Linked DNA regions of Oryzias latipes. The protein of the gene in region 2 binds, or shares a complex with, the protein of the main gene of each other region. Links are inferred from orthologs where the notes say so. Each region holds a gene or a part of one and is shown on either strand. Other genes may lie near its edges.

What was found.
Region 1: the proteins of fzd4 (region 2) and ndp are in contact, whole or in part, in a crystal structure (PDB 5BQE), measured with the Homo sapiens proteins. The link is inferred for Oryzias latipes from reciprocal best matches to the Homo sapiens genes FZD4 and NDP. Residues at the interface, in NP_036325.2 of Homo sapiens: Ser51, Met52, Gln54, Asn55, Leu56, Gly57, Gln95, Phe96, Met105, Thr107, Lys109, Ile114, Asn152, His154, Met157, Cys158, Met159, Glu160, Gly161, Pro162; in NP_000257.1 of Homo sapiens: Asp33, Ser34, Pro36, Arg38, Met40, Arg41, His42, His43, Tyr44, Val45, Asp46, Lys58, Met59, Val60, Leu61, Lys102, Lys104, Leu106, Tyr122, Leu124, Ser125.

Annotation. Positions count from the first base shown.
Region 1 is NC_019879.2:12,495,418-12,503,006, reverse strand, and holds the start of ndp (norrin), read left to right. Parts: upstream 1-2,631; 5' UTR 2,632-2,762; intron 2,763-7,589. UniProt on the Homo sapiens protein: Activates the canonical Wnt signaling pathway through FZD4 and LRP5 coreceptor.
Region 2 is NC_019871.2:21,519,292-21,525,797, reverse strand, and holds part of fzd4 (frizzled-4), read right to left. Parts: intron 5,302-6,506; coding exon 5,164-5,301; intron 4,928-5,163; coding exon 4,544-4,927; intron 3,857-4,543; coding exon 3,711-3,856; intron 2,448-3,710; coding exon 2,200-2,447; intron 2,089-2,199; coding exon 1,670-2,088; 3' UTR 1-1,669. UniProt on the Homo sapiens protein: Receptor for Wnt proteins.

The DNA.
Region 1 (7,589 bases), on a different chromosome or scaffold from region 2:
TGGATGGATGGATGGATGGATGGATGGATGGATGGATGGATGGATGGATGGATGGATGGATGGATGGATGGATGGATGGATAGATAGATAGATAGATAGATAGATAGATAGATAGATAGATAGATAGATAGATAGATAGATAGATAGATAGATAGATAGATAGATAGATAGATAGATAGATAGATAGATAGATAGATAGATAGATAGATAGATAGATAGATAGATAGATAGATAGATAGATAGATAGATAGATAGATAGATAGATAGATAGATAGATAGATAGATAGATAGATAGATAGATAGATAGATAGGAGGTGAATCTGGTGATGATGAGCTCCCTGTACTCACTCTCATCCCCTCCCTTTACACACGCCACAATAGCAGTGTCGTCCGAATACTTCTGGAAATGACAAGCTGCAGATTCATAATTAAAGTCAGCAGTGTAGAGTGTGAATAGAAAAGGCGATAGTACATTTCCCTGTGGTGCACCAGTGTTGCTCATCGATGTCCCATATACACAGACTCCTATTTTTAAGTCAAAGTCTTTGTATTTGAATCACAAAGTGAAACATGAAACATAAAAATTTGTATTTTAATTGATGATATAATTCAACTTTAGTTTCCTCCGATCTTTCAGAATGTGTTCCTTTATTATTTATTGTATGTTGTAATAAGAAGCAATCTTCCCGCTCATCACTGCTTTTGCTGTTTCCCAAAGAACACGTGGTGAAATGACAGGAGTGTTGTTAAAGTCTAGGAAGGCTGCCTGCTCTTTTTTAAAGAATTTAATAAACTCTTGGTCCTATAGCAGAGAAGAATTAAACCTCCAAATTCTAACTTTTGATCTATATTAAAAGCGTTCCCTGTGGTCTTTTCATTATTATTCCAGCTCAGATAAGGAAAACAATGTTGTACATGAATCTATTTGTGTGCAAGTATATTCATCAGAATGGAGCATCAAGTGTATTTTCTACGTCACAACTGCAATCTTTTACAAAGGCAATTGTTTTGTCTGGTCCTGATTTGCAATGATTTGATAAAGAAATACAGTTTTAATCTTAATTTTTTATTTCCATACAGAAATGTGAGAAGAGGGCTGCTCGCATTTATCCTTTAGGCAATCAAATGTGATTCTGTGAATTCTGTGTGAATTCAATTAATTCCGGTGGTGCAGTGGTTAGTGCTCTTGCCTCACAGCAGGAGAGCCCACAGCTAAAGTCCAGAAACAAAACATCACTGGGGGACCTTTCTGTGTGGTGTTTGCATGTTCTCCCTTGTAGGTTTTCTCCAGGGACTCCGGCTTCCTCCCACCTACATAGATTAATTGGTAAATCCCTAAATGGGTGTGTAATTGTGGCCCTGCTACAGTCTGGTGCTGTCAGGATTTTCCCTGCCTCTGCCCACAATAGGCCGGGATAGGCTCCAGCAGCCCTGTGACCCCAAAGGGGACAAAATGGCTTAGAAGATGAAAAGAAAATTGTAATTCCATCCATCAATTTAAACAAGAACTGGTATGATGTGGCTTAGATCAGTTTTCCTTTTGTGAGATAGTTTTGAAAAATTGGAATTTATGAAAAAGAACTAAAAGACATGAGTTACTGTCATTTGTTTATGAGCTCAGGTCATCACTGGCACCTCATGCCTCTTTGAAAACTATTGAACCAGAGCCTCAGTTCATGACTTCAACCCCAAAACTGCGGGTTGAAGTCACTGAAGTAACTTACACCGATCTGGCAACTGGTGTGAGCCCCGTGACAGCATCAACTTTCAAAGTTTTATTAGTTTTTTATTGATAGCAGTTTGTCCCTCTTTTGGTGTCCATCTGTTGATCCATGCAGGAATGATGGATGAGGCTTCTGTAGAGTATAAAATATTGTATAACTTCTGACTGTGGTTAACATGACTACCCTCAAAAAAAGGCATCCTGTACCACAAACATGCACCCTGCAGGGTGTAAAAACTGATCACAGATGAGAACATATGTCTGAGGGAGGAGAGCTATATATGTCTCACATTGATGACCTGTATTTCATCTTCTGCATTGTTTGGCAAAGTAACCTGACTTTTGTCCGAGATTTAAAACTTTTGAACCTTTTTTGTTGAGTGAAGCCCACTGTGATGGGGCAATGCAGCTCTACCAGCAAAACTAACAACAGTCAACATCAAGAAGGAAGTTCCATGGTGACTTATAACACCTCCCATTTGACTCCTGTCCTCCTAAACTGACCCCTATTTCCTTTTTTGTAGAGGGACAGAATGACGAGGAAGGCTACAAGCACCAGTTGTTTTTTCATAAACTAAATCTGTTAACACTTTTATAACCCTGACCTCATAAAACCTACTGCAGCTCTTGGTCAGCCATCCCCCTGATGGGACGCTCTGGGCTTCCAGGCCTGGAATTCCCATTTGCCTCCGTGGAGCGTGTCGGTGTGTCAGCTGCCTTGTTTGCGAGGGAGAAGGGGAGAGAAAAGGAGCATGATAAACGACTGCTCTGTCACTCTCCACATGTGAAGACCATCCTCACGAGCAGCGCATCCGGGCTGCTCCCTTGTTCTGGTGATTTCCCTGTTGAGGAAGGAGAAGTGAGGCTGTGTGTGTGTGTGGGGGGGGGGGGGGGGGGGGGGGGGGAGGAGGTGAAAGTGAGACAGAGGGAGGAGAGAGCCATGCTCAGACGACCAGAGTGTGTGAGAGGGGTAGAAACAGGAGGACCTGACTGGGAAACAATAGAAGGACAAATCCACTCTGCTGTTTCTCCGCTGAAGGTAGGACCACCACTCTGGGTGTTTTACACCTGGATCAGCACACCTGCACCTTCAGTACATCTAACATGTTTTCACTTCTGCATTTCAAGCACCATGGGAGAATTTGAGTCCATGGAGTTGTTGTTTTCCAGAACTCAGGTGAAAACTCTCTTCAGCCGCAGTCCAAGAACTGCAAGTGTTTGCAATTAGGATACAGTGGGACTTTGTATGTAATGAGAGGAAACGTGTTTGTGTTGGCGCCGGTGGCTTTGCTAAGTAGGCATTGACAGAAAGCGTTTTCAGTGGGGAGTGTGTATGGATGAAAATGTGTTTCACAGCTCTGTTATGTCCTTGAATGAATGACTGACTTAGCCTGTGGTGTTGGGACCTGAGACCACTGACTTATAGTGAAAGGAGAATGATGACAGATATAATACAACTCTGTGGTAGGTTGAAGGAGGAGACGACTACGACTTCCTTTAAGATGAAAAACAGAGGTGTGTGTGTGGGGGGGGGGGGGTAGAAAAGGAGAAAGTGTTCAGATGAAAAATTAACTGACTATGAAGGTTCGGTTAATAATTATTGACCCAGAGGAATTAGTAAGTGAAAGGAAGAAACTTCAGATCGAAGGAGAACGGCTGAGTCAGAAAAAGACATAATAAAGAGGAGAAACGGAATGAAACTGAGATGTGTGAGAGAGGTGGAAAGAGCAGTGGTGGAGAAAAAAGGAGTGAGTTCAAGTGATGCAAACATCCCTGCAGACATCTCATTGTACGTCTGGCAACACCAGAGGAGAAACACTTTCTGGAGTCATGAAACCACCGTGGAACTGTTTGGAGAAGAGCAATGAGACCAAAGCAGGAAGAAGGTGTGTTTGAAACATGGCTGCCAGGTGCAGATGGACAGCAATGCTCTGGCACAGCCAAGCTTCATTTTCATGAGCTCTCGTGTTTCGCATTCACACACACCAGAGTCCTGCATTTGTTTAGACAATTCTGAAGCTCTCATAGGAAGTTCACAGTGTCGCTGTAGGAATGCACTTCTGACAAATGGATGCTCTGCACGAACTGCAAGCTATCGACAAGCTCCTTAAAGATCCACTCCCATGAAAATTGGGTTTTTAGTGTTTTTAACATGTTCCTGTGGCATTTTTCTCATATTGGAGGACATATAGAGAGAAAAATTAATCCTAAAACTTAATTTCTAAGTTTTTATTCATTCAAAGCTGTGAATAAGGAGCAGACAAAAAAATGCTGTTTGAAAAAGCTTGTAGTTGTGATGTACAAAGTACACTGGGCGGGGCACAAGCTCCCTTTTCCGCTCCATTCCGAAGCATCCTTAACGACAAATAGTACAAAGACAAACGTATACATGTTTGTTTTCTTCATCTGAACTGGAATCTGGCTCAAAACGTTACAACTAGTTAGTTCCGATATTGATCACCAGTTTTATTGCTCAAGTCATGTTAAGTTGAGGGTGTGAAGCTTGTGGGAAATGATGCAAACAGATGGATGATGGGAAATGGGGATGGTCTTAATGTGCACTAATTGTCTTGCCTAAAACTCAGAGGTAAATTCCTAAAGAAACAACTGCAGCTCTGCAGAAACTATGTCCTTTTTTTTATTTTGGCTGAAGATAGTTAAAATACAATTAGATATGCTTTTACAATTGATCCAAAGATGATCAGAGTGGGTCTTTAATACAACCCTGACCAGCAACTGTGTGACACATTTGCTGCCCAAAGGAGCCGGATCCCAAATGATAGAACTGCAGCTCCTCCTCTTGTTCACCTCGGGCTATAAACTTAATGAGAATTGATCCTGTTTCACACACTGTTTTTGCCCCCCAGCTCCGAAATTCCCTGGAATTTTTCTTTTTTTTCAGTCAGGAGAGTAGGTGTCTGTGAGGTGTTTGTGACCCAGAAAGATTAGGAGGATCTTATTTTTATTCTGTTGCAAGAAAAATGCCTGTGATGTTTTCAGAAGCTTTCTTCGTAAAGCTCAACTCTGGCTCACATGGCTGCCTGTCCGCGGCTTTCAAATCCGCACTGTTTGTCTTATCTTTACCGAAGGGGATATATTTAGTGAGGAGCTTAGCTTTTAGGAGGTTGGCACGTGGAGAGAATAGGAGAGTACAAAAGAGGAAGTTTGTGCGTGTTTGTGTGTGCGTTTCAGGCGTTGGCGTCAGTAGACAGTGGAGGAGCTTGGCACTCTGCATGCCAAACTGTGTTTGTGCATATTCTGTCAGTGTGTGTTTGTGTGTGCACGGCTAGAGGACAGGTCTGCGCCCTCCCCTCCCCTCCCCTCACCGCAGTCCGGAATCTGCCCTTTAGTTTATTAAAAGCTGGGGAAACAATGGAGGGGATGAGTCTGGGGATGAGGGCAGGTGGGGAGGTAAAACTATGACATAATCTCTGGGCACAACTTCTCTCAGCATTCAGGCAGACTCAATCCTCTGTGCTGACAGAGCAGAAGTTCCCTCTGAACATCTGGACCAGCAGCTTTCTGACAGCAGTTCTAGCTTCAGAAAAGGTCTCTCTGCCCATATGAGTGGTAACAACGCATAAGTTAGGTGGGCGGAAGATATGTATAGTTGGATCCCACTGGGGAGAACCAAACACTTTGATGGCTGAGATTTTGCACTCTACACAACAAATGGCTGCCACAGTGGGGGGCTCAACAGATTAGATTTAAACATGTTTTTCTGCACTTGAATAAAAGTTTCCCAGAGAAGATCATCTTGACACCCACTAAGTGTGCTCTTACAGTGAATGTTCTACCATGTTCGCCATTTTTCTGGTTCTTTATCAAACATACTCAATGAAGATAACTTTATTGGAATTCCCGAAATGTTTTGCAATTACACTGTTTCCATTAAATCAAAAATATGCGAATAAACACAAACCAAATCACGCGATAAGTTGTTCAAAAACATGGTGACGCATATGATTTACAGCAGATAGACTCAAATTTCTGCCACCGCACTAGCGCTCATCATTATCTATCAAAGCAGACGTCGGCGTCTTATTCAAGCCATGGAGTGACAAGCTCTTTACACTTGGGAGGGGCTACAGATGAAGTAATTTTTGAGAAATGGTGGTTGGTGATTTTACAGAAGAGCTGTGGATCCAACAGCATGACACGCTCAACTTTTGATGAGCTGTGTGATGCTGTGGGACCTCTTGTGGAAGCCAATGTGTAGTGCCAGGCAGCCAGTTCCTACCAAGAAGCGCATTGCCATCTGACTCATTTAATTAGAAAACAATGTTTCTATTCCATTCTATTCCATATCGATACGCATCAAAAACCACCTCCTCCAAACGCAAAATTGTCGTGTTTCCATTAGGCACATTTTTTATCGTAAGTCCAATTAATGCAATTTTATAGTTAATGAAAAACACAGCTCATGTTAAATTTATTACTTAATCATGATCTGAGAAATCTTCAGGATGAGAAAAATAGTCTTATTCACCAAAACAATGGGTACGAGAAAAGCCACAGGAGTACAGATTCTCTGTTTCTTGTCTGTTAGCAGACAGACAGTCAAAACAACATGATCTACAGCCATGTATTATGAGGCAAATGATTAATAACATGTTCAGGGATCTTGGATCAAGGCTTCCTAAAAGTGGACACTGGTATGAATGCACTGAGCTTTAGAGTCTGCTTCATGTGAATCCACTGATTAGCAGCAGAGAACTGAAAACATGAGCGACCAAAAGAGTCTTTTGGAATGACTAGGGCAGAGGTCTGCAACCTGAGGCTACAGAGCCTCTATGACCCCTCCTTTGTGCCTCTCTGCTTGAAGAAAAATAAAATGTTTCTAATTTTAAAAAGTAGCATATTTTTCAAACTACAAGGCAAATCAAGCAAAACAGAACAGTCAGATAAGTCAAACTTTATTCAATTCATTCGCAAACAGTGAACGAGTCCTCGAGACTTCTGACTCCAATAGCCGTGATGCTTCAAGCAGTTAAGTTGACCAAAGTCAAACTAAAACGGTTTGACAGATATTTGAGGGCTAGATACCATAGTAAATCAACCAGAATTCATATATTCTGTATACTGGCTTATATATCAGATTTTCTTTTTTGAAAAAAATAAGGATTGTAAGTGTACCATGTGGTCCAAAAATATATTTTAATCAGCTCATATTTAGTTAGTGGGTTTACTAGTTTATGGCTTAAATGCACCAACAACGGTATAACAAAGTGTACTTAGTTTTTCTTTTATAACTACCGGTACTAATATAACCCTACCAAGTACTACATTTGCTGCATTGAGATGATCCTATGTGACACAGGATGTCTTTTATTTTGAAAGGTAGTCATGTTAACCACAGTCAAAAGTTATAAAATATTTGATATTTAGAAAAAAATGATAGTTTTAATTTCTGTTTTATGTTTGCACAAATAACCTATTTATATTGATCATAAGAGTAACAGTAATTTCAGTCAGACAACTCTTGCAGAAGAACATTTATTTCACAACATCTTTAGGATGACATTCACAATTTGATTCACAACTTCGTTTTGGCATAAGGCTCCGTTCAATTCCTTGAGACAATTATTTTTCCATACACTTTCGGGTAACAACCCCCAACACCAAGATCATCCAGAAGAAGAAGAAAATGTAAATGTATAATGTATAATCAGTGTGTAAATAAGATGAGGTGTGTTTTCGGCAGCATTCCATTTTCACTTCATTTCATTTCATTTCATTTCATTTTCCAGTATGACTGCTATGTGTTTACCCGGCACCATTGACCGTTTGGCCGCTCCCTTCGAGAACCACTCTACGAAGGGAACATGCTATCTAGTGTATCTGCTATGTGTTTACCCGGCACCAT
Region 2 (6,506 bases):
CTAAGCAAATAATGAAACATTTGAAACACTAAGCAAAGGATGAATTCAAAGGCTGTGAGAGGCACTATCTGGTTACAGATGACACATAAGGACAGGTGCAAGCGATTCAAGCTCTATTACTGCCCACTGAAATGCAAAAGGACAACCATCACATTCAAACATTCAATTAAAATGCTTTGCTCAAAGGGATTGTCAGGCAAACATGCAGGAGCTGTTTTTCGGTTGAAAATCCTTGAGACGAGTTAAGTTTAAAAATACACGCCAACATGAAGCACGGAGAACCTGGTATGTCTGGGAACGGAGGCCTTAAGGTGCATGAATGCAATCACATACTGCACATGCGACAAACAGCAGCTGTGACCCAGAGAAAAATAAACCTTTGACGGGTATCTTGACATCCTTTTTCTCTCCTTAAAATTGTTGACACCGTGGTTGGAGATCGAGTTGGTGGATAAAAAAAACGGACATCTGGTGTGTGACCCCTCAATTTAAACATAACTCAAATATTTTAGCTTACACTGCACTTTTAATGCCGACAATGCATTCTTTCCTTTATTTTTCTGCATGCTCTAGAATTCCGATTACGCATATTTTGGCAACTGATTGTCCAACATTTTCCTTTTCAGAAACATGGCTTCACTGTTTGATCAGGGGCAGGGGGATATTTGAGTTTTCTGTTGCTCCTTAAGCTTATAAAGAATAGGATTTTCATAAAAGCCGCAGACTTCATTGGAACAGTTTTCTTAAAAGAGCAAAACCCAAATGCCTGCATTTCCCAGGCACAGCAGGTCCTGCTCAAGGCTGACTATAGTGTGTACACCTGGCAGTGTTGCTTTCAATTTTACAAAAAAAATTGCCGCATCTATGACATCTCTCAATATTTACGCTGTGCATATTCCTATCGGCTCCAACACTTAAGTTATTATACATTTTTAGTGCATTATTCCAGCTTTAGAGCTGGTTTCCCAAACAAATTGAGGCAGTTAAAATCACGTGTACTAAGAATTCAAAGAAAATTTGATCAGTGGTTAAATAAAAAGATTTGAGGTCATAAGGTAATATTTTACTGCGATAATTCAGATTAAATGGTACGTTTGTATTTTTTTTGGAAACTGTGTCTAGTTGTTAGGTGATTCTGGGAAATTTCAGTCCGAACCTGCATAATATCTGCTCCAGTGTAAAAATTACAAACTTAAAAAAAAAGAGACAACAGCTTAAAGGTTTACAGTGTTCAGCAGCTCGGTTTGTTCTGCTGGAAAACTCTGGAGAAAAAAGAGACAGAGAGGTAGAGATGGTGCAGTACAGCTTATTGGTGGATCTTGTTTGCATATTGATACCACTGTTGTGCCTGTTCTGTCTCTTTTTCCTTTTCTTCGCCTCTCTGGAAGACAGCGGTCGAACCGAGGTAGAGAGGCTGCTGCTGCTGAAGCATGACTTGTTCGTCTAAGCTTCTCCTTCACAACCTCTATTAGAGGCACAGGGAGTGAAAGTCCGAGGGCTCGTGTGATGCCATTTAATCCAGTGGCACCATTGGAAACGTCCCACTATGGGTCACATTTTTACCCAACACCAATCTCCTTATACTTTCGATCCTTCATTGAACAGTTTTTTAACAGGAAGAGAGTTCAGCAGATCCTGTTTGCTGTCCATTCTCTCATGGGCTACCTTCTCACACGACTGTCTCATTTCCTTTGCCAGGTTTGATCCAGCCCTCTCCCGGTGCGCTCTTACCACCTCGCCCAACATGGCCTTCTCTGAGCAGCCGGGAAGAGCAGCGCTGCCATGTGTGGAGAGTCTTTGCCGACCAGATCCACATTCCCGACGTGATCCCCACCAGGAGTGACATGAAGATACGGAGCATCTCCGATGTCACGTATGAATCGTGGGTGCTGGTCTTGAACTCTCCCCAGTGGGAGAGCTGGTAGAGGTAACAGCCGATTACGGTGGATGCTGGGACGGTGTACAGTATGGAAAAGACGCCGATCTTCACCATCAAGCGCTCCAGCTTGTCTGTTTTGGTGCCGTCCTTCTGTAGATTGGAGCGAATCTTGAAAAGCGCCATGAGGCCCGCACAAATGAACAAAGTTCCTGTGGGAATGAAGACAACAACTGCAATGAAGACACAGAGGACTCAAAAATGAGTCGCATAACTTAGATGATGGGAATACAATTAAATTGTATCCATTGGGCTGGACTTACCAACGAGGAGGTAGGTGGCAAGTGGAGCCACCACGAAACCTGTGAGGGCCTCCTGCTGCTGGTTGCCGACATAGCACAGCCCTGTCAAGTCGTCTGCATCCACCAGCCTCATGATGAGTATTACAATGGTTTTGGCAGCTGGGATGGCCCACGCAGCAATATGGAAGTAGGAGCTGTGCATTTCAATGGCCTCGTGGCCCCACTTTAGCCCAGCTGCCAAAAACCAGGTCAGGGTCAGGATAACCCACCTGGAAGAGGGTGAAAGAAAGATCTTTTATCAGAAATGACCACAAGAAGATGGTTGCTCTGAATAAAGAACAGTAAATGATTTTGTCAGTGATGCTTGAGATTTTAGGGCCGGTTTCTCTTCCTTGTAGCTGCAATTGTTCGGTAATGTCACATGTTCATGGGAAGAACTTGATTTAGTACACCTGTTCACCTGAAATTCTTGTGGTGGTGGTTTGTGCATGGAGAGGGTGGGACGGTCCTGGTATTTTTTTGCTGGCCTCTTCATTTATCACATTTATCTGAAATGATTCCGGAAACCTTTGAAGATTTTGGTTTTTTGGCCATGAAGTTTTTATTTACTTTTGTGTGTTACAAACAATGGCAGTTCCCCACCAGGAATAATATGGGGTTCAGTGTCTTGCCACTTTGACACGTGGGTCGCCAAGGCGGGAACCAAACCTGTGATCTTTCAACAAGAGGTTGGCCGATCTACCTGTGCACCACATTATTTCTGAATGTAGAGATTTTAGATAAACGACATGCATCTAATTCACAAACAAAATAAAAACTGAAGAGATAGTGAGACAGCCAACTTGAATCCCACCTTGGACCTTTCTGTGTGGAGTTTGCATGTTCTCCCTGTGCATGTGTGTTTTCTCTGGGCTCTCTGGAGTCCAAAAACACTTTTACTGTGTTCATGGTGACTCACAATTGTCCCTAGATATGCATGTGTGGCCCTGCCACAGACTGGCAACCTGTTCAGGGTGTACCCCACCTCGACCAACAGTAGCTGAGATGACTCCAATAACCCCCTAAACCCAAAAAGGATTCACAATATTCTGAAAATGGATGGTAGCATGATGATTGCTGGGGCATCTCAAAGCTTTGCCCTTTGTGTTGACTGGTCATAGTCATAAAGGTGGATGACTAAAGTTGCTGGTAGTTCTCAGGTTATCACGACTGCAGGACTGCAGGAGTTTTGTGTCCATTTATGGAGAAGTGTAATATTTTTGGGTAGTTGTGATTTTCTTCAAACCAGGAAGATAAACAGGAAAACGGAGGCGCAGGGAAACAGACAAAAGTGCTGTGACAGCAGCAGGTTTCCACTGCAACTTTAGTGCAGCCTTCACTCCAAAGGAGACAAAGCTTTGAATGGGAAAACAAATCCACTAATACAGAGGTTATGGGACAGGATGAAGGTCTTATGTTCCACCATGAGACCTTAACAGCACTGCTTTGACAATGGAAAACTGTGACAAAAGGTTTCATGTGCTTAAACTAACCAAAGGGAGGAGGCCATGCCGAAGAAATAAAGCAGGAGGAAGACGATGGCGCAGCCGGTGCTCTTTAAACCTTCCTGTACTAGAACTGGCACTCCAACGGCATCCAAGTCACAAGAAACGCGCTCCCTCCCGAGAGTAAGGCGTACCTAAAAAGTCCAAGTAGTTGAGTTAATAACAGGAAAGGGAAAAGGTTTTTTTTTAGCATCGAGCATCCAATTACACATTTTTGAGTCATTTCAAATCACATGGACTAGATTCTGTTATTATAATGATACAGTTTGTTAAACATTGATTTACTTATATATATATATATATTTTAAGCAAGTTATGCTTGGTTTTGATTAAATGTTTTACATATTTAGAAAGTAAAACTAAACTATGGTGAAAACTAATAACCTTAAAAATTGGATCCATTGACCTTTTATGAATTATTGTAAACTTTTGTGAATGGAGATCAAACAAAATCCCTTATCTGGTTTATTTTTAATGACCCACTCAGAGGAAAATAGTGTTTTTGGTGTTTTTAACATGTTCTTATGGCATTGGATGGATTTCTTAATTCAAATTGGATGGATTTCTTAATTCAAATTGTTGTGAATTGCTAATGAACTCCTGTCGCTCTGAAGAATATATGTCCTAGAAAATGACACAGGTATTCTGGATAATATCTGCATAATTGGCATAATCTTAATTAAAAGAACACTTGGAATGCTTTGAAAATAGATCAAAAGATAATTGGAGTGGCTTCTTAAAATACACCTAGTTTTATTCACTCTTTTTTTATGTCTATCTAATCCTAAGAACTGATTCCTTAAGAAAAACCCTGAACTTACCAGATAGGCAACACTATATAGGTTGCAGCACATAGACAGAAAGATGATGGGCCTCTCAGGATACGAGAATCGCTGTGAGTCCAACAGAAAAGTCAGGACTGTCAAAGTAGTCGACAGGAAACACAGTACAGCCCACACCGCCATCCATGCATCTGTGAAGACTTTGGCTCCTCGCCGGTAGAGGCCATTGTCGTAGCCACACTGGAGTACGCAGCTTTCAGTCTGCTTGAGCCAAGTGTACTGATCGGGGGTAGAATCCAGGGCTTGACAGTCTTGGTCAGAAGGATGGTGGACCGATTGGTAGGGCGGGTCCTCGTCACCTGGACCCTCCATACACATGTGGTTGTGGTCGTTTTGTGGTGGGAAGCGGCTGCAGTTTAGTGCCTGAGAAAGAAACAGGAATTCCTGAGTGTCTTTGCTGTAAAAATGAAATGCGTTATAGACTTAGACTGGTTTATAAATTCAGCCATTCAACTGTTTATACAGCTATTTTCTCAAAACCTGAAAAATCCAGCAATTTACAGGAAAACATATCGTTAATAAGGCTGTTATTATTTATAGGTATTTTTCATGTCTGGTCAAATTATGTGTAAGTAAATATTGATATGAGCGAAACTCACCTCGGGCCATGTATATCCAAACTCAAGGAGAACCGGGAGGCATTTTCTCTTGACAGACAGACACATGCTCCCACACGGTCCGATGGGAATGGGAACTTTGTCCGTGCACATGGGGACATAAACTGAGCAGAGAAAAAACTGGAAAAAAGTAGAAAAAGGGTGTTGTCAGATTTTATTTTATTTTTGTCTTTGCAATACAAAATTCAACAAACTCTACTTTGCGAAAGCAAGGTTTAACAATTGTAGAATAATTTGTTTGCAAAAAGATAATTTACATTTTAGCCTGTAACATCCAGAGACAGTAAAGTCAGGTGTTTTTACTCTTTCTAGAAAAATAAATATGAAATGTTAACTGCACCGCATGCATTAGCATCTGGCTTATCTGAATTTTCATTCCACCGATTACTCAAGTTTTAAATAAAAAATCTCTTAAGAGATGGAAGCTTGCAACGCCACCAAAGAAAGGCCGTGCTGTTCTGTGTGTTGGTTCTGAAGCAAAGGGGAATGGGTAAAAGTCTTGCAGCCTTTGTCCAGTGATAGACAAACTGACTAGAGCCCCAATGAAGCAGGAAATGCAGAAGGAGTGAATGTTGGGAACAAAGTAGGCCTACACTTTAGTTTACCACTTCCACCATGTTAGCAAAATGAACATTTTACTTTTAAAAACCTCTGTTTTTAGGAGAGAGGCAAAAACAATTTTATCGAAATCAAGTCTCAAAGACATGGGCTTGAATGAAGCGGTTTTCTTCCTTAAGATGTATGGTAAACAGATGAACATTTGGGGGGCTGGTGTGTTTGGGACTCTGGACTTTTGGTGCCAGAGAAGTCCACAGATTAATAAAGTTGCTCTCTGAGTCAGTGGACTAGGAGGAGCCTCCAGCGGCAAACACTCGCAAACGTTTATACAAGTGGGAGATATTAGGTTTCGTGCAGTAGAATTTCTAATGCTTCCCACGGTGAGCCACGCATACTTAACCAGTGACGGTAATGTAACTCATGTAGGTGTTTCCCCCCCGATCCGTTTGTAACCTTAGTGTTGCCGCTTCAGTGCTAAAAGCTGCTCTGGGTTCCATTCAGGAAGCCTCCCATTAGAGCTGATGCTGGGACAGTTCCTGGCTCTCCTGACTCTCAGAGCAAAGCAGATTGTGTGTCAGGCAATCTTGCTGGTCAGTTTGCAACTGGGGAATTTCATGGTAAAGCCCCCACCCCCATTTATGCCTGCCTCATATAGTTTTTCTGCCAAGATATTTTCCAAACAGCTGCACACTAATAATCCAAACCCGGTTTCTGAATCTTCACATGATGCATGTGTGCGGAAATTGAATTTTTGTCATGTCACCAGT